Linked DNA regions of Callithrix jacchus. The protein of the gene in region 1 binds, or shares a complex with, the protein of each later gene. Links are inferred from orthologs where the notes say so. Each region holds a gene or a part of one and is shown in the gene's direction. Other genes may lie near its edges.

Region 1 (4,760 bases):
TCCGTCTGGAAATGCGGCCCTGACTCACCCTCCGCGTGTTCAACGAGAGCTTCAGTCCTGGGTTGTTCTCACCGCGCCATCTTGAGTCCGTCTTCCAAGAATGAACTTTTAAAATGTTATGCCAAGTAAAAGAAGCAGTCATGAAAGATCATATATTGTATGATTAATTTTTCCATGAAATCCCCAAAATAGGGAAATCCACAGAGACAGAAAATGAATCTGTGGTTTCCATGGATTGGGGGGAGGAGGAAGTGGAGAACAGCTGTTAGTGGATATCACAGTTCCTTTTAGGGTGATGAAAACCTTCTGGAGTTAGTAGTGATAGCTGGATAGCTTTGTCAATATACTAAGAACCACTGAATTGCATGCGGAGGAATATTATGGTATGTGAATGTATTTTAATAAATGTGTTATTTTATTTATATATTTTTATTTATTTTTATTTTTTTGAGATGGAGTCTCACCCTGTCACCCAGGTTGGAGTGCAATGGTGCAATCTCGGCTCACTGCAACCTTCACCTCCAAGTTCAAGCTATTCTCCTGCCTCAGCCTCTTGAGTAGCTGTGATTACAGGTGTGCACCACCACGCCCGACTAATTTTTGTATTTTTAGTAGACACGAGGTTTCACCATGTTGGCCAGGCTGGTCTCTAATTCTTGGCACATGATCTGCCTGCCTTGGCCTCCAAAAATGCTGGGATTACAGGCATAAGCCACCATGCCCGACCTTAATAAGGGTGTCATTTTAAAAAACAAGCTAGGCACCTCGGGTGTAAAATTGGAGGAGGTTCTGATTCTCAGGGCCGCGCAAATGCAGGGTTGGCCCCTACGTGTGCAGCCCTCCTGAAATTTTGTGCCTTAGGCACCTGGCTTGCCTCTCGCTAATTCAGGCCCTCAGGAGAAAGCTTTACTTTTTGTCAATTTGAAATGGGAGGGCATGGCTTCTGCGAGCCTCTCCCTGGGAGCCATTTGGTCTGTTCTCTTCCTCTGAAAATCACCGTGTCAACACAAAATGCTTCAAATTGCGTCCAGCCTAGGATGGAGGCGGTGGGGGGGATAGTTGATGACATCACAAAACTGCTGCATCAACTCCCTCAAGTCTCTGCCTCTGGACCCCTGATAGAGGATACAGGAGTGTCCTGAGCCCGTCTCACTCAGTGTCTCTTCCCATCACTTTGCGGGAATGGTGAGGCTGCTTAAACCAACCGCAGTCTAAGCAACTGTGGCTGGAGAAGGGCTCGAGTACTAGGGGTGAGGACGCCTGCTTCTCTATCTGGAGTGGTACCAGTTAGTACTAGTGCCTAGAAGTACTACTAGTACTAGTACCCAGGACTAGTACTAATTAGTGGCGGAACCTGGAACAAATGCTTTGGTTAACTGAATCCCTCACATTCCTAAGACAAGAGGAGTGGACCCATGGGGCTTTCCCATTGAACATCCAGCTTGGCTGTCACCCGACTACTTTCTGAAAGTAATGAAGCCCAGGATTCCAGGCTCTGTCTCCTTTCCCGCAGACCCCTTGTTTTTTGGCGCTGAGGTCCTGCACAGTGCAGGCTACCAGTCTACTTCTCTAGGCTGTCAGTTTCGGAACCCGGTCTGAAGCGACCATGACGCTGGAGGTGGGCGAGGCCCGGCGAGCGCCACGGGCACGAGACTGGCCTCGGGCTGGCGGAGGCAGTCGCGGACATCGCCCTGGGCGGGGCAAGTTGGGGAACCCTAGCCCTGCCCCTAGCCCTGCCCCCGGCCACCTCGCGCGCCGCCCCCGCTGGTTCCGGGAGGAAAGTGGCGTGAGTATAAAAAGGCGGTGCCGGCAAAGGCCGGAGTGAGAATCCGCAGCGAGCGCAGTAGTAGGACCCGGTCCTGCGCCTCAGGGATCCGCGTCCAGGATCGGAGCGCGGCACAGAGACGGCGGCAGCGTTGGAAGAGGTGGCAGGTGAGGGCGTCCCCGCGCAGGGCCGGGCTGGGGACGGGAGTGGTGAGCTTCAGGTTCCCCGGCTGCCACCGAGAGGTGGGATTCGAGGAAAGGAGAGGCCGTTCAGCCAAGAGCCCCGGGGAGGCAGTGCCGTTTCGGTGGGGCCAGCAACGGTCTCTAGGGGGTCCCTTGCAGCGCGCAGCCGGTCTCTGCCTCGGCGGCCCCCAGCCAGTGCGGACGCTGCTCTCCCCGACGCCTCCTGGCTGCCCTTCCCAGGCCGAAGGCGTCCCCTGCAGTCCCCTCCCCACCTGCCGGCCCTATTTTCCCACTGCTCCTCTCTGCTCGGGGGTCCGCAGGATGACAACGTCTATCCTGCTTATCTTTTAAAGTCACCATTCTCCAGTTCCAAATCCGAGGACTCATCCGTAATTCAGAGATACGGATGGGTCTTTCCTTCCCCGGAGCACTCCTCCAGGGCCTGAGAATCCGGGCAGCCAGCCGCAGCCCGTAACCTGCAGAGCCTGCTGTCTGCGGGGACCGCCAGCAAGTAGAGGAGGAATCACCTTCGGAAGTGTTGTGTTGCCGGGGGCGGGTCGCGCCGGCGGGGTCTAGGAAGCCTCCCCTAGGGTGGGAATCAGAGCCTCCCAGCCGCAGTGGAATTGAGGATGAGTGGAATTAACCCGTGATTGTCGTGGCGCCCCCCCAAGGGGGACCAACAGTGTTTGCCAAGAGGTGACTTTGGGAGGGGTCCAGGATGGCCAAAGGTGGAGGCTGTGACCTGAGTGAGGCTGGATCAGGGGAGGGGCAGGTGAAGAAGAAACCATTTCAACAAGGCGGCTTTGAGCGGACCCTAAGGCCCTGGGAGATTTAGGAGGAAGGACGAGAGGATGGAGACACCACTTTCCTCTCAGGATGCTGTGTGGCTGTGGCTGAGGGTGGCTGCTGGCAGCGGGTTGTGTTCATTGTCCAAGGCTCTCCAGTGGTCTGGCTGGCGTTTTGGGAAGCACAGGTGAGGTGTCCGGACAGTGGGGAGCAGCTCTGGAAAGACCAGAGGGTCAGGGAGGAGGTCTGGGCACGAGGCCAGGCACAGGATCTGAAGTGGAGAGAAATGTGTGTGAGGAGGGCAGCCCTTGGGGATGAGTGTGGCGGAGAAGGGAGAGATGGGAAGGAGTCAGGGAGGTCTCCCAGCCTCACCTGGATGGGTGAGGCTCATTTCCAAGGGCATTGGGAACTGTGGCCTGGGGGCAGGTGTTCCTTTGGTTTCAGATCTGTGGCCAAGAGACCCACCCACTCACATTCACACTTTGCCTCCACTGGCTTCAGAGGTAGTGCCAGCTACTTGTTCTCGCTGGTTTTACTTCCTCACCTTGGGCTCCTTCTTGCCTTTGCATTCTGGAGCTCTGCAGGGACCAGTTCCTTCCTCCCATGCACAATCTACTCTCATGGCTTTTGCTGGGAATAATGAGTAAAGCTCCCAAATAGATGTTTCTGAGTTAGAACACTGAAAACAAAATAAAGCAAAAACAATACATTTCCAATGTCCCAAGGTCACATGATGTCCGGAGGATAGTGATGAGCATTAACTTTTTGTCTTCCCTATTAGAATGCAAGCTCCACAAATGGAACAGAGTGTTGTTGTATTTTGTTTTGTTTTTTTCCAGACAGAGTTGTGCTCTGTCACAGGATGGAGTGGAGTGGCACGATCTTGGCTTACTGCAACCTCTGCTTCCCTGGGCTCAAGCAATTCTGCCTCAGCCTCTGGAGTAGCTGGGACTACAGGTGCACGCCACCATGCCCAGCTAATTTTTGTATTTTCCGTAGAGACAGGGTTTCACCATGTTGGCCAGGATGGTCTCAATCTCCTGACCTCCTGATCTGCCTGCCTTGGCCTTCCAAAGTGCTGGAATTACAGGCGTGGCCAGCTGAGTTTTTTTGTGTGTGTGTGTGTGCAGTGGGTCAATCTCAGCTCACTGTAACCTACGCCTCCTGGGTTCAAGCAATTCTCCTGCCTCCACTTCCAGAGTACCTGGGACTACAGGAGCATGCCACCACACCCGGCTCATTCCCATTAGGAACAAGTGAGACTTCCTTTTGCTCCAGGTCTTCATCGACATTTGGTGTTGTGTTCTGGATTTTAGCCATTCTAATAAATGTGTAATAGTATTTCAGTTTTTTCAGAACATTGTAATTCCTTAATGACCTATAATTTTGAGCATCTTTTCATACGCATATACATATGGTGAAGTGTCTGTTCAGAGCTTTTCCCCACTTTTAATCAGGTTACACATTTCCATATTGTTGCATTTTAAGAGGTTTTTTTGGGGGAGTATATTTTGGGTCACAGTCCTTTATCAGGTATGTCTTTTGTAAATATTTTCTCCCGGTCTGTGGCTTGTGTTCTCATTCTCCTGACATACCTTTTTTGTTTTTACAGCATATAATCCTGCTGCGCTTTTGTTTTGCTTTTGGGACGGAGTCTCGCTCTTATCACCCAGGCTGGAGCACAGTGGTGCAATCTCGGCTCACTGCAGCCTCCTCCTCCTGGGTTCAAGCGATTGTCCTGCCTCAGCCTCCCCAGTAGCTGGGATTACTGATGCCCGCCACCACGCCCAGCTGATTTTTGTATTTTTTAGTAGAGATGGGGTTTCACTATGTTGGCCAGGTTGGTCTCGAACTCCTGACTTCAAGTGATCCGCCCGCCTCAGCTTTTCAAAGTGCTGGCATTACAGGAGTGAGCCACCGCGCCCGGCCTGTTGTGCATATAATTTTATTATTTGCTTTTTTAATAAAACATGAATAGCATGCAGTTCCAATTTTGCTCGAGACTTCACAATTACCAATTTAAAGGC
Region 2 (4,612 bases), on another chromosome or scaffold:
ATAAATATTTATTGGGTACCTGTCATTTATTGGCTTTTAAAGAGACTATGGTTGAACAATTCCCTAAATGGCTCCAAAATAGCATGAGCTGACCCTACCAGAAGCCATGACATGGCTCTCCAGGAGCTGTTCTAGAAAAAACTGCTAGTCACTTCTGCTTCAACCAGCCCATGGACCACTGGACAAAATGGAAAGCAAGTACCAAGGTGAGCACCTTTTAGTGAGAGCCAACACACAACCCACAGGATTGAGTCTCCCTGTGAAGAACTGAGTGCCTAGGGCTGACCCTAGCTTGTTCCCACAACCCCCAGTCATGGTCAGACCTTAGAAAGGTAAAATATGGACACCTTTTTTCTGCCCTAAATCTTTAAGACGCTGCATGCTCCCGGGTTATCAAAGACCTGTGTCCGAGCACGTGCTTGTCAGGAACATTAATTAGGGTATTTGCATGCAAGAGCTGTCATGCAAGAGAGAGGGCAGGAAAGCTCTGAGGTGTTTCCACTGCAATGTACACCGCAATGTCAGCAACCTTCTGGCTGGGCTGATATATCTAGCCTTACCACAATGCCCTGGGAGTTGTTTTAGGGCTTGTCAGCTCCAGGGGCTCCTGTTCATAGGGCATATAAGTCCCTATCAGAGCAGCGATAGGGACTGGGCAGGAATACAGATAGGGGTCCTTCATTACATCGTTGGATGCTTCACACCTTCCCCAACCACCTGCATGACCAGCTGAGTGGTACAGCCCTGAAGTCTATGTGAAAATAGGAAAACTTGATGGTTCAGAGCCATTATTTCCACATGGGCTTAGGCATGATACTTAAACTCTCAGTGTCTCAGTTTCCTCGTCCATAAAAATAGTAATAAAAGCAGTACCTATCCTCTTAGGGTTCATGTGAGAATTAAATAAGCTAATATATGTACCTGGTGTGTAGTAACTTTTATATACGTGTTGGCTATAATCTTAGGGCAGCTGTGAGAGAGCTGAGCCCCAGAACCATAAAACCCTCTTAAGCACCATCCCCACTCACGGCCTGGCAGGTGGTGGAGCAGGAAATCCCGTGGGAAAAGGGAAGGCGTTGGCTGTAGGAGAGGGTCGATTGTGGGTTCCCGGAAGGTGAGGACTCCTTCCCTAACATCCTCAATGCCCAGCTACAACCAACCTGGCCGCGGCACGCAGCAGGCGCCCAAGAAACACTAGTCAGAGAGGAAAGCACTAGCTTTCGTTCTGCCCCCGTCCCACCCCAGGGGCGGGACTGTAGAGTCGCCTGAAAGGGAAGTTGTTCAGTCAACTCGGAATAGCGGTAGCAACCCGGAAAGTGGAATCATCATCTTGGTCTAGAGACTGACGCCTGTGCATGCAGACCCGTTCCCCTCTCTACCAAAGACCGCAGCCCCGGAAGTCACTCCATCTCCTGCAGCTCGCTATTTCCAGCGGCCCCCTCGTACCTTCCAGCCTGATGTCTCACGTCAAGTTATGGTGAGTAGGGAGTGGCGTGTGGATCTGAGTCTCCGACACTCACCCCCAGAGCTACCCGCGACTCGCTCAGAGAACGCCTTTGCGTCTAGGGACGGTGGGGGCGGGCGAGGGAGGCCGAGGATTGCAGTGGGCGCCGAGTCACGGGGGCGGGGGGAGCAGCGCGGACACTGCACTGCCGGCTAGTGGGCGACACCCCTCTCTCAGGTTGAACGGTGCTTCCGCCTCCTTGGTGTTAGACAAGTAATTGGAGAACCACAAGCTCGTCGGCTCAGGCGGGTTCGGCAACGTGTTCCGGGCGCATCATAGGAAGTGGGGCTGCGATGTGGCTGTCAAGATCGTGAACTCGTGAGTGTCCGGCCAAGGTCTGGGCAAAAAGGTGGAGCCGCTGTGCTCTGCGACCTGAATGGGGAAGGGAGGGATTCTCCCAGGACCCCGGTGCGACTCCAGCTCTCTACTGGAGTGTAGGAAGGCGATATCCAGGGAGGTCAAGGCCATGGCAAGTCTGAATAACGAATTCGTGCTGTGCCTAAAAGGGGTCATCGAGGAGGTGGGGTGGGACGACGATTTCAGGCCGGCACTGGTGACTGAATTCATGGAGAACGGCTCCCTGTCGGGGCTGCTGAAGCCCCAGTGCCCTCGGCCCTGGCCACTCCTCTGCCGCCTGCTGAAAGAAGTGGTGCTCGGGATGTGTTACCTGCATGAGCAGAACCCGGCGCTCCTGCACCAGGACCTCAAGCCATCCAACATCCTGCTGGACCCGGAGCTGCACGTCAAGGTTAGCCGGTCTACACCCCTCTCAGCCTCAGGACAAGGCCCCACCCCAGAGCTGCTCCAGCCAGGGCCACCAGACACTAGACCTGCAGAGCCCTGTCTGTTGAATAGGCACAGCCTCTCCCTCTGGACTCAGAGTTGTCAGGGGACAAAGCCCAGCCGGGAGTTTTAGCTCCTGCCCTACCAGGTGATAGAGGCCCTGACCCACACGAGTCATTTCCACCAGCTGTCCCACCAGGCCCTGGAGACTCAGACTTGGACCCAGCCCTACCACAGGGCACCTAGATCTACCACCCAAGGGAACCCCTTCCCTTGACCTTCACACTCTTTTTACAAAGCTGAATCTGCACCATCTGGGGGTAGGGAGTATTCTGGAGGCTGCCTGCTTTGTCTTCCCCGCTTCCCCCTTCTTCCCTTCATTTGCAGCTGGCAGATTTTGGCCTGTCCACATTTCAGGGAAGCTCACCGTCAGGGACAGGGTCTAGGGAGCCAGGGGGCACCCTGGGCTACTTGGCCCCAGAACTGTTTGTTAATGTAAACCAGAAGGCCTCCCCAGCCAGTGATGTCTACAGGTAAGGATCCCACCCCAAACACACAGCGGGGATTCCTACACCTCTCTTGGCCCTCCTAGGGGATGACGTATAGGAAAGGAGTCTTGCCAGTGATTGGACCTGTCCTCAGCTTTGTGTCTCCTGCAGCTTCGGGATCCTAATGTGGGCAGTGCTTGCTGGAAGAGAAGCTGAGTGTAAGACTCTAGGCAGATTCTGGGATCCTTAACCCCAGGTGCCCTTCTGAAAGCCCCAAGTCTTCCCCTTCCTGCTCATCTACTTAGACTGCCCTCCTCCCTCATGGTGCCCCCACATTACACTCCCTGCCTCTTTCCATGATGGACAGATATTCCCTTTTACCCCAAATGCCTTCTCTTCTCACCCACCTTCCCTACCCCAGTGCCGACCGAAGCATCACTGGTGTATGGAGCAGTGTGCAAGAGGGAGGCCCAGCCCTCACTAAATGAACTGTCCCAAGCTGGGCCTGAGACTCCTGGCTTGGAAGGACTGAAGGATTTAATGCAGCTCTGCTGTAGCAATGAGCCCAAGGACAGACCCTCCTTCCAGGGTGAGCTGCCCAGTTAGCTGGATCTGTGATAAGCTTGGGTCTGTCAGCAGGGGGCTCTTCTCAGGAAAAGATTTGCTCACCTGCAACCCAATCTACTGTCCCTCTAGAATGCCTACCAAAAACCGATGAAGGCTTCGAGCTGGTGAAGAACAATATGAATGCTGCTGTCTCCACAGTGAGCTCCCAACATCATCCCTCTCCAGGAGCTGGTCAGGGATAGCACAACATGACTACCTAGCCATCCAATGATGGCTTACCACCGATCACCGCTTTTTATGCCTTGAACTTTGTCCCCACCCTCCCCAGCCCACCCCCGAGTTCCCAGCCAACAGATTATGGACCAAGAGACTACTCCCTTGGGTTTGCTCTGGCTCATCCAAGTTATACCCAGCAAACTCCTCCATCCCTGCAGGTAAAGAATTTCCTGTCTGAGCTCAGGAGCAGCAATAGGTCAGGCCAAGGAAAGACAGAAATGGATGGCTTTGGGAGAAACACAGGAAGGCAGCACTGTTATGATGATTTCATGGATTCTGACCTGCTAAATAAACTGAATCTAGAGGATTCTTCCAGCTGTGTTCCTGAAAAATACCCAAGTCTTACCAAGAAGAGCAGGGCACAAGAGGAGCAGGTTCCACAAGCCAGGACAGCAGGGACATCTTCAGATTCAATGGCTCAACCTCCCCAGACTCCAGAGACCTCAACTTTCAGAAACCAGACACCCAGCCCCACCTCAACTGGAACACCAGGTCCTAGACCCCAAAGGAATCAGGTGAGACATTGGCAGGATTAGGGGATGCACTAGAACTCCTATAAATCCTTTCCCCTTGCCAGGGAAAACTTGGAGCTGAGAGGAGTGCAGAGGGAACACCAGACTCTGGGACAGAACTGAATGCTCTGTGCTGTTTGCAGGGGGCTAAGAGACATGGCATGAACTGGTCCTCCAGGAACCTGGAACCAAATCCAGTAACAGATACCCACTCTCTACCCCTTTTTTTCCCTGTTCAATTATTCCACCAGACTCTTCCTCCAGACCTATAACTAGATTCAGGGTAACTTGTGGAGGGGAGGAGAGAAGACGATCTAACTCAACCTTCTCATTTCATAAATGGGAAAACTGACAGCCCCTGAGAAAGGAGCACTCTGAGGTCTCACAATAAAGCTTGGATTTGTCCCTGAGTTTTCTAACTTTGCACAACACCAGCTCTGTGTGTTGTCCCTACGTTCCATTGTTGTTTCAGCAGTCCAGAG
Region 3 (4,836 bases), on another chromosome or scaffold:
TTAATTATAACACTTAGCACCATGTGCTATTGCGATTATTAAATTACATGTCTGTTTCCATGACTTGGCAGAGCCGCTCAATATCTGGAACTTTGTCTTATCAACTATTACATTCCCAGAAACTAATACATCCTATTAGATGTTCACTGAATAATTGTTGATTCAATGAATGAGAAATGAAAACTTCAAGTAAATTGCTGACTAGAATCAAGCCCTCAGGTTCTGAATTTAGGGTTAGGAATCTGGGTTAGGAAGAAAGACTGTATATATGCTTTTGAGGCAAGCAGTTCGTGAGGGAATGAGGCACCATTACTTCCAGGTAACTACAAGCAATAAAAATGGGGTCAAAAACGTTAGAGCAGAGGGACAGGCCCCCTAGGAGACAGGAACTGCTACAACCAGCTGTGACAATGAGCACACATTGCAGACTTCCTCCTTAGGCACGGATGAGAAGGTAACACGGAAGAAACTGGCCGCAACTGGTTAAACCCGGTTAAACCGAAAACTTGGCTGACTGCTGACCCTTAGCTTCATTATGCCCTTAATGTCATAAAATTTCCATAATGAAACCTCCCACTCCCATCATGCACCTGGCGCCATAATATTTCCGGATTAACTATCTTTAGTCAAGAAAATGGTGGCACCCTGATTCTGAGAACTGCCCACCCATTTTGCAGAAAACCCTTCCCCTTATCATAGAGTACTTTCTACCTTCATTGTGCTAATCCGTATATGACACGAACCCCGTTGCCTGTGACTCATTCTCTGAGTGCCCGCACTCCTCCCTTGGGTGTATCCTTGCTTTTGCTCCACAATAAAACATCTATACTTTCACTTTGGTCTCATTTTCGGATTCTCTTATGCTTTGACGCCAAGAACCTGCACTGGCCTACTGGCAACACTTTTTGATGCCCTCCGAAATCACTGTGCTTATTTATACCAGAAAAAATGTATCTGGGCCAGACAACGGTGCTCGTGCCTGTAATCTCAGCATTTTGGGAGGCCAAGGCAGGCAGATCACAAGGTCAAGAAATCGAGACCATCCTGGCCAACATGGTGAAACCACGTCTCTACGAAAAATACAAAAATTAGCTGGGCATGGTCGCGCGCCTGTTGTCCCAGCTACTCGGGAGGCTGAGGCAGGAGAATCCCTTGAACCCGGGTGGCGGAGGTTGCAGTGAGCCAAGATCACGTCACTGCACTCCAGCCTGGCAACAGAGCAAGACTCCGTCTCAAAAGAAAAGAAAAAAATAAAAATAAAAATAAAATGTCATCTGCTAGGCCCCTTAGTCACAAAGCGTACCAATAAGTCATCTGTGGTCATTTTTCACAGCTTCCTAACCACTTTCAGTTTCCAATCAGAGTAACTATGTGGGATGACTCAGCTACAAGTTGCTACAAGAGTTTTCTTCTGTGGCTGCTAGAGAGAACCCAAACCAGCTCAGCCAATTAGAGCTCCAGTTGTCACTCCAACCCGCGCTGGCCCTGGGGGTGAAGGGAAGTGTTTATTCGGAGTATGTGTGAAGCTGTTCAGAAGTTTCAGAGCCTTTGTCGCTTTGAAAGTCACGTAGGTAATTGGGGCATGGTCTCCTAAGCCCCCTGCTAGTTAAGCTCTCTGAAGAGAAGGTGGCAGACCCGGTTTGCTGATCACACCAGGGATCAGAAGGTAAGCACCATGGAGGAACTGGGTTAGACACAAGAGACGGAACCCTTTCTCCACCAAGAAAGACAACTGAGGAAAGACCAGCCATGCTATGCACCCCTTTGATAACTTGAACCTGCGAAATGGACACCAGCTGTGAAAGGATGGGTTCATCTATTTTATTCGCTGTAGCCATATTCTCTGGTGTCTTTGAGCTGGTATTCCTGAAGCTTCAGCTTCCACTGGGGTTTATCTATCAGCCTATTTGTAAATGCCCCATCCCCCTGGCTGGGCCCCCCTACCTTCCAAGGCAGTGACCATTTTACTTGACTGAAGCCCCACATAGCACTTGGGAATTTCCCACTAATGAATGCCTCTTCTCACACAGTGCAGGGCTTCATTTCCTGACCTCCAGGACCACCCACGAAGCCCCTGGTCTAGCCCCAGTGGGATGCTCTGGTGTGATTTCAACATCACTCTAGTTCTTTATCATCTGTTGCCCTGGTTTGCTCATCCCAGCCCAGAAATCCTTTTCATTCCAACCTTGCACTTCTACCTTCCCTGTGTCTTTTTTTTTAAGATGGGTTATCACCATGATGGCCAGGCTGGTCTGGAACTCCTGACCTCAGGTGATCCACCCACCTCGGCCTCCCAAAGTGCTAGGATTACAGGCATGAGCCACAGCGCCCGGCCCCACTGTGTCCTCTTAATCTATTCTTTGATAAAACCTTTTAAATAAGATATGCTCCTACCTTTTAATCTCAGTCTCAAATCCAGATTGTGACCTGCCATCCCATATGAAACTATTATTTGTCACAAAATATCATGACTAGATATCTACTACTATCACTTTTTTTTTTTTTTTTTTTTTGAGACAGAGTCTCACTCTGTTGCCAGGCACCAGGCTGGAGTACAGTGCCTTGATCTCGGCTCAATGCAACCTCCACCTCCTGGGTTCAAACAATTCTCTTGCCTCAGCCTCCCAAGTAGCTGGGACTACAAATGCATGTCACCACACCCAGCTAATTTTTATATTTTAGTACAGATGGGGTTTCACTATGTTGGCCGAGATGGTCTCGATCTCTTGACCTCGTGATCCACCTCCCTCCACCTCCCAAAGTGCTGGGATTACAGGCATGAGCCACCGCACCTGGCATATTATCACTTTTTATACTGATACCTAACCCTGGATGAATGATTATGCTTTGCAAGGCTCTGTTGTAAGTTCATGACTTACTTGAATGGAATTATCTTATTCTAACATTAATTCTTCAATGTTGATAATAACATTTCCCCCATTTTGCAGTTAAGGATATGGACACTTTAGAAGGGTATAATTTACCAGATGTTGCAAATAGCGGAACCAGGATTTAAGTCTGTGTCTGGCAGAATAACTGTCAGCCTTAGGCAGCAAGTTAACACAGTCTGAAATCCCTGTGGGGTTCTGCAGCTGTGGCATGAAGAAGGTAGGCACTATTCCTCCACTGAAGATGGCACATAGGGGAAATGCTGGGTGGAAATGCTTATTTGTTTCATCAGGTGTCTCTCAAAGAGGAATCATTCTTAGGTTTTACTTGCTTAAGAAATTTTCTTTTCGTTCTTCTATATCACCAATTTTTCCTCTCTCCCAGATCATTCTAATCAGCATGAAATATTCTGTATTTTCTCCAATGTTAGAAAAGCAAGCAAACAAAAAGAAGACACTCTGTCAACCCCACATCTCCTTCCAGCACTTACCACATTTCTCTGGACCTTTATAGCAAAAAGGTTGGCTTTCCTTGCATTCCCCCTTTTTTGTCCACCCTTTTTCTGACCACTCAATTTACATGAGCAATTTTACTCCTCATTCCTGGCACCCCCTCTGCCTTCCCTGTTTTGTTTTCCTTTATAGCACTTACCAATCTTAATCTATTTTGTATACTCAAGTTAAAATTTCTTCTGCACCATTCTCTATCAAAACTGCTATTATCAGCGTCACCAGTAACCTCTAATTGCTACTTCTATGTCTTTTCTGCAGCCCTCATCCTACCTAGTATGTTAGAAACATGTGGCACATTTCATCTTTTTATCTCCTTAAGAATTACCTTCTCAGCACCTTAAACACTGCTCTTCCTAGCTTTCTACCTATCTCACCGCTCATGCCCGTTCAGTCACCATGGCTGGTCAGTCTTCATCCCTCGCACTGTCAATACCGGAATGGCCAGGGGCGAACTTTGGACTTCCTCTTTCTGCACTTCCTCCCTTGGTGAAATCGTTTATCTATGGCTTTTACTGCTACTACCTGTGTGCTAGTGATTCCCAAGCTCACATCTCTAGACTAGCACTCTCTTTAACTCCACCTGGGTATCTGAACTATGCACTTGAAGCTCTAGCAGGCATCACCAACTTAACATGTCCAAGTCCACATTCCTAACCTTATCCCAGCGCATTCCAAATATGCTCCTCTGACATCCACTCTGCAATATCAGTAGCATTTTGACTGTTTTCAGGTGTTAAGTCAAAAAAATCTAAGTTTGTTTCTTTTTTTGTTTTTTCTTTTTTTCTTTTTGAGATGGAGTTTTTCTCTTGTTGCCCAGACTGGAGTGCAGTGGCACAATCTTGGCTCACTACAACTTCTGCCTCCCAGGTTCAAGCAGTTCTCCTGCCTCAGCCTCCCGAGTAGCTGGGCTTACAGGCATGTACCACCATGCCTGGCTAATTTTGTATTTTAAGTAAAGATGGGGTTTCACCATGTTGGACAGGCTGGTTTCAAACTCCTGACCTCAAGTGATCCACCTGCCTTGGCCTCCCAAAGTGTTGGGATTACAGGCATGAGCCACCACGCCCGGCCTAAGTGTGTTTCTTAGCTTCTCCTCGGCACTCCAGGTCCAGTCTATTAGGAAATTCTATTTTCTATGAATTAAATGCATGTAATTTGAGTACAATCGCTTCTATCTTCACTGTGACTCTGCTAGATGGATGTCTTCATCTCTCCCCTGCATTATTACAACAGCTTCTAACTGACCTTCTTGTTTTTCACCTTGTTGCAAAATATAAGTCATATCCTTCACTTCTCTGCTCAAAACTCTCTTATTTCATTCAAAGTTAGAGCAAGTTGCTGATGAGACACTTCACAGTCGGGTCTAATTCTGTCTGACTTGACCTCCATCTTCTCTTTCCTCTTGCTCCTCCTCTGCAACCACACTGATTTTTCC
Region 4 (4,850 bases), on another chromosome or scaffold:
TGTCTATTCTTTTCAGCATTTCGTCAAACCTTTTTTCAAAGACACATTTTCTCCCAGACACATTCCTGTGGGGTGACAATACCCATGACCGCAGATGGCGCTGGGGCTCCGGCCCGACAGCTGGGCTGGGTTAGCCCCTTAAGTCCTCACCTCAATCCCATGAGCTAGCTCCTTTGATTAAGCCCTTTTACACATGAGGAAACTGAGGCACCGAGAGGTTAAATAACTTGTCCAAGGTCACACACCCAGTAAATGGTGCAGCTGGGTTTGGACCCAAGCACGCTGGCCCAGGCTTGCATGCCGAACCACTCAGCTGCCAGTTTTCAGATGCTGACCTCAGGCATCTGACTCTGGAATTAATAAGCAAGTTCTGTGGCAAAGCTGGGAACTCCATACCGTCATGTGTTAAGGGTGATTCACGTGTGACTTTTGATGTTACAGATCAGGAAACACAATTGGGTAATGGACAGGACATGCTCTGCCATGGACTCTGTGTGGCCTTGGACAAGTGATCTTGCCTTTCTGGCCTCAGTTTCCCCTCTGAGAATAAGAAAGAACTGGCCCCTACCCTGTAGATGGGTTGGAGGAGCACTTGAGATTGGAAAGCATGTAGTAGGTGTTCATTAAAGAGGCTCAGTTGGATACTCACAGGGACAATCTCAGGACACTCACCCACCTAAATGTTCTGCCCCTCGTGTGGGTCAGGGAAATAAACTCGGGAGGAGACAAGAAAAACCATTGAGAGCTGGGGACGGCACCTCTGTCAGCACCTGTGAGTCCCTGAGAAGGAAGTACCACCGGAACCAGGCAGGGTAGGCATGGGGGCTCATGCCTGGAATCCCAGCACTGCGTGAGACCAAGGCAGGCGGATCGCTTGACCCCAGGAGTTTGAGATCAGCCTGGGCAACATGACGAAACGCCATCTCTACAGAAAATACAAAAATTAGCTGGGATGGTGATGTAGACCTGTGGTCCCAGCTACTAGGGAGGCTGAGAGGTGGGAGGATCACTGAAGCCCAGGAGGTCAAGGCTGCAGTGAGCCATGATGGTGCCACTGCACATCAGCCTGGGTGACAGAAACCCTGTTTCCAAAACAAAACACAGAACCTGGGTGTCCAGCCCCAGCTCCTGACATCGTCAGAGTGATGCCACCCCCTGACATCACCCCTGCAGGTGGTACATGCTCTCTCTTTTTTTTTTTTAATCCTCTGATGCTGAGCCAGAAAATAAAAATGCAGGGGTCCAGGTGGGCTGCGCCTGGAGCTGGGAAGGTGAGGGAAGTCCTCTGCCCCAAAGGCCTCTTCAGAGGATGCTCTGGTCTTGCTGAGTTTATAGCTCCGCCCTGTCAACATCAAGTCGGAGCCCCAACTCGGGCTTGCTCATCCATCCTGCTTTCAATGTGGTTTCTTTGAAAAGCCACACAGAGAAGTTTCATTTTCTTTTTCTTCAGAAACAATCTGGCCGGTCTGGCTGGGCGTCTATTTCCGGGGTGTAAACAGCTGATACCCGCCTGGTGGAAGCAGACATCGCTTCCCTTGTGGGTTCAGAGCTGCACGAAGCACCAGGCTCAGCCGCATGAGACCCCCAGCCTCGACCCAGCCCATTCTCTCAAGGCCAGAGCACAGGAGCCTGCACCACCTGGCAAGTCTCCCCGCTCCCTGCAGCTGTCCTCAGCATGGCCCAGGCTTCTGCTGATCCAGGCAAAGAAGGTACAGTACTTCTTCCTTCCACGGACCAGCAGTAGCTCCTGGGGTGAGATTTCCACTTCTCTTTCTTCCTCTTTTGCTTGGCTCAGATCATGATGGCAATAGCAGTATCCTAAAGAATAAGCAGTTCTATTTGGAATTTATATACAACCTGCTTGGGTGGAGAAGCCATTGTCTTCAGAAACCTTGGTGTAGTTGAACTAATAGTTACCGTTGTGACCTGAAGTTCACTATTAAAAGGGATTACCCAAGCAAAAAAAAAAAAAAAAATAGCAGACCAGACCGGGAGGCTCCTGCAACTGGCTTTCATTGCACAATTCCAGGAATAAAATACAGGACAACTTTATTCTTTGGGAGGTCAAGGCAGGCAGATCACCTCAGGTCACGAGTTCAAGACCAGCCTGGCCAATATGATGAAACCCCATCTCTACTAAAAATACAGAAATTAGCCAGGAATGGTGACATGTACCTATAGTACCAGCTACTCAGGAAGCTGAGGCAGGAGAATCGCTTGAACTTGGGAGGTGGAGGTTGCAGTGAGCTGAGATCACACCACTGCATTCCAGCCTGGGTGACAAAGTGAGACTTCATCTCAAAAAAAAAAAAGAATAGTAGACCAGCCAGATGTGGTGGCTCCCGCCTGTCCTCCCAGCACTTTGGGATGCCGAGGCAGGTGGATCTCTTGAGCTCAGGTGTTTGAGACCAGCCTGGCCAACATGGTAAAACCCCTTCTCTACTAAAAATATGAAACTTTGCTGGGTGTGGTGGCACATGCCTGTGATCCCAGCCACTTGGGAGGCTGAGGCAGGAGAATTGCTTGAACCCAGGAGGCAAAAGTTGCAGTGAGCAGAGATGGTGCCAGTGCACTCCAGCCTGGGCAACAGAGTGAGACTCCATCTCAAAAAAAAAAAAAAAAAACAGTAGAAAGACAAGGACCACATAGCCATCCTCCTTCGACAGCTGACTATGCCCCAGGCACCTTGAAACATGCCTTGCAAGCATTTCTCTATGGCCTGCAGGGACAAGTGCAATGTCATCCCCATTTCATAGATAACTGAGGCACTGAGAGGTGAAATGACACTCTCAAGGTATCACAGCTGGCAGGTGCCGGTGCCGGTGTCAGAATGCCCATCCCAGTGGAGAACAAAGCAGTTTGCTCTGAAGAGATACCCGTGTGCCTTTGTTCCCCCTTGCTGCGTTCTTTCCTCAGCTAACATTTTGCTCATTTTATTCCTGGAAGAGTTGAAGTGAAAGCCAATAGTGTCCCCAGCCATTGCTGCTCTCTCGGGTGTCCTCTAAGCGCTGTGGACGGTAGGTGAAGTGTGGTTTTGCGGCTTTCGGGGAGGGCTTGGTTTCTTTTTAATCCTCAGCACAATCTTTGAAGTAGTTACTGTCGTCTCCATTTCACAGAAGGGGGAATCTGGAGTCGGGAGAGGTCACATAGCTGGTAGTTGGCAGAGCCTGGAGCTCAAACTCAGGAAATCAGCCATCAGAATTTTTTTTAAAAAACCAACCCGGGGTATGCCCTGGAGGGCTGCTGCCAGGGCATGGCCCAGGAGCCGGGCTGGCTACTGAGTTCCTGTGGCTCTTCCTCTGCGGGATTCACGTGTAGGCAGACGTTCCAGACTCAGCCCTCGCTGGCTTTTCTTGTTTTCCTCCCCAGTTGACTTTTCTTCTATGACCGAATTGTCACCTACACCAGCTCCATTTTACAGTGCCCCATTTTCAGACAGAGTAGCCTGGGGCTCTGCAGCCGAGGCCCTCCCAGCACCCAGGCTTGTCCTGGATCCACAGCTCTGACCCCCATCCCCTCTGGGGTTTCTGGAGCGGAGGCGGTGGCTCCCTGGGGTGAGCCTTCCAGAATCAAAACTCTACGAGACCAGGTGAAGCCAGGTGTGAAGTCAGGCGCATGGGTGGTGGGGGGCTGCTGGCTGCTGCTCGGGGAGTTTGATGGGCACAGGAGTGGGAGCTCCCAGGTCTTCTCATTGCTCTTCACCTGCACGCAGCCAGCCTGTCAGCATTGTAACTATCAGGGTGAGGCACAAACCAATTCTTCCCCTTCGAGTGCTGTGACCAAGGAGCCCAGCCCCAGGCAAACCTGGAGCAGGAAAACCCTCTGAACAGGAAAGAAAGCCCAGATGGCAAAGAACTGAGTCACTGTCCGGGAAGGGGACCCAGGTCTTTCCAAGAAGGGCTCTCCCATGCACTGCCCTTGGGTTCCTTGAAGCAGAAGCTTCCTGGTAACAGGTGGGGCCCTGCCCACAGTGGCTCTCCCAGGCTGCCGGCTGCCAGGTGCTGCCCGTACCTTGTGTCTGCCCCAGCCTCATCTCCTGGCAGAGCAGCTGGCTTTGATGGTTTAATTACCATGTGAGCTAATGGTTTTGATTGTTGGGAGCTGCCCGGGAGGAGCAGGGGCCATTTGGAGAATTCCTCCTTGAATTTTTTGGGGTCCTGCTTGGGGCTCGTTAAACTCAGGCCAGGAAACAGGAGCACACGCCAATTGGCCAGGGAGGAGCTTCCTGGGCCCTGCCCAGGGTCTGTTGGGTAAGCATCTGTCCCTGGAGACAGATATTCACTCACTCAACCCTTTTTTTCTTCCAGAGATGGGGTCTTGCTCTGTTGCCCAGGCTGGAGTGCAGAGTGCTTTCATAGCTCACTGCAGCCACAAACTCCTAGGCTCAAGCGATCCTCCCACTTTTGCCTCTTGAGCATCTGAGGTGCGTGCCACCATACCCACCTGAATTTTTTCTTTTTTTTGTAGAGGTGGGGTCTCACTCTGTTACCCAGGCTAGTCTAGAACTCCTGGCCTCAAGGGATCCTTCCATCTCAGCCTCCTGACATGCTAGAATTACAAGTGTGAGCCACCACTCCTGACCCCACTCATTGGTTCACTCATTCATTCACCCAGTCACTCATGCATTCAACTGCCATTTCCTGAGCACCTACTATGTGCCCAGCCCTTTGCTAGATGCTGAAGGTACAACAGTGAGCCATGCAAGCACAGCAGGGGACACTAGGGGATGTTCTGTAGGGGACCCACACACAAGCAGCATTCCAGTCACTCTGGGGCACAGGGACTGGCTTCCCCAAAGGTGTGGCATCTGAGGAGACCTGGAGGGTGTGTAGATATCAGACAGGTTGGGG

What was found.
Region 2: RIPK1 (region 1) and RIPK3 share a complex: the UniProt entries of both Homo sapiens proteins name them as parts of the AIM2 PANoptosome complex. The link is inferred for Callithrix jacchus from reciprocal best matches to the Homo sapiens genes RIPK1 and RIPK3.
Region 3: RIPK1 (region 1) and AIM2 share a complex: the UniProt entries of both Homo sapiens proteins name them as parts of the AIM2 PANoptosome complex. The link is inferred for Callithrix jacchus from reciprocal best matches to the Homo sapiens genes RIPK1 and AIM2.
Region 4: RIPK1 (region 1) and ZBP1 share a complex: the UniProt entries of both Homo sapiens proteins name them as parts of the AIM2 PANoptosome complex. The link is inferred for Callithrix jacchus from reciprocal best matches to the Homo sapiens genes RIPK1 and ZBP1.

What each region holds. Positions count from the first base shown.
Region 1 is NC_133505.1:27,572,586-27,577,345, reverse strand, and holds the start of RIPK1 (receptor-interacting serine/threonine-protein kinase 1), read left to right. Parts: upstream 1-1,821; 5' UTR 1,822-1,932; intron 1,933-4,760. UniProt on the Homo sapiens protein: Serine-threonine kinase which is a key regulator of TNF-mediated apoptosis, necroptosis and inflammatory pathways.
Region 2 is NC_133509.1:58,638,311-58,642,922, reverse strand, and holds RIPK3 (receptor-interacting serine/threonine-protein kinase 3), read left to right. Parts: upstream 1-1,283; 5' UTR 1,284-1,477; intron 1,478-1,681; 5' UTR 1,682-1,880; coding exon 1,881-2,252; intron 2,253-2,674; coding exon 2,675-2,820; intron 2,821-2,946; coding exon 2,947-2,993; intron 2,994-3,196; coding exon 3,197-3,364; intron 3,365-3,471; coding exon 3,472-3,539; intron 3,540-3,776; coding exon 3,777-4,154; 3' UTR 4,155-4,540; downstream 4,541-4,612. UniProt on the Homo sapiens protein: Serine/threonine-protein kinase that activates necroptosis and apoptosis, two parallel forms of cell death. Necroptosis, a programmed cell death process in response to death-inducing TNF-alpha family members, is triggered by RIPK3 following activation by ZBP1.
Region 3 is NC_133519.1:19,069,676-19,074,511, reverse strand, and holds the start of AIM2 (interferon-inducible protein AIM2), read left to right. Parts: upstream 1-1,507; 5' UTR 1,508-1,666; intron 1,667-4,836. UniProt on the Homo sapiens protein: Sensor component of the AIM2 inflammasome, which mediates inflammasome activation in response to the presence of double-stranded DNA (dsDNA) in the cytosol, leading to subsequent pyroptosis.
Region 4 is NC_133506.1:53,206,455-53,211,304, reverse strand, and holds the start of ZBP1 (Z-DNA-binding protein 1), read left to right. Parts: upstream 1-1,521; 5' UTR 1,522-1,675; coding exon 1,676-1,709; intron 1,710-4,850.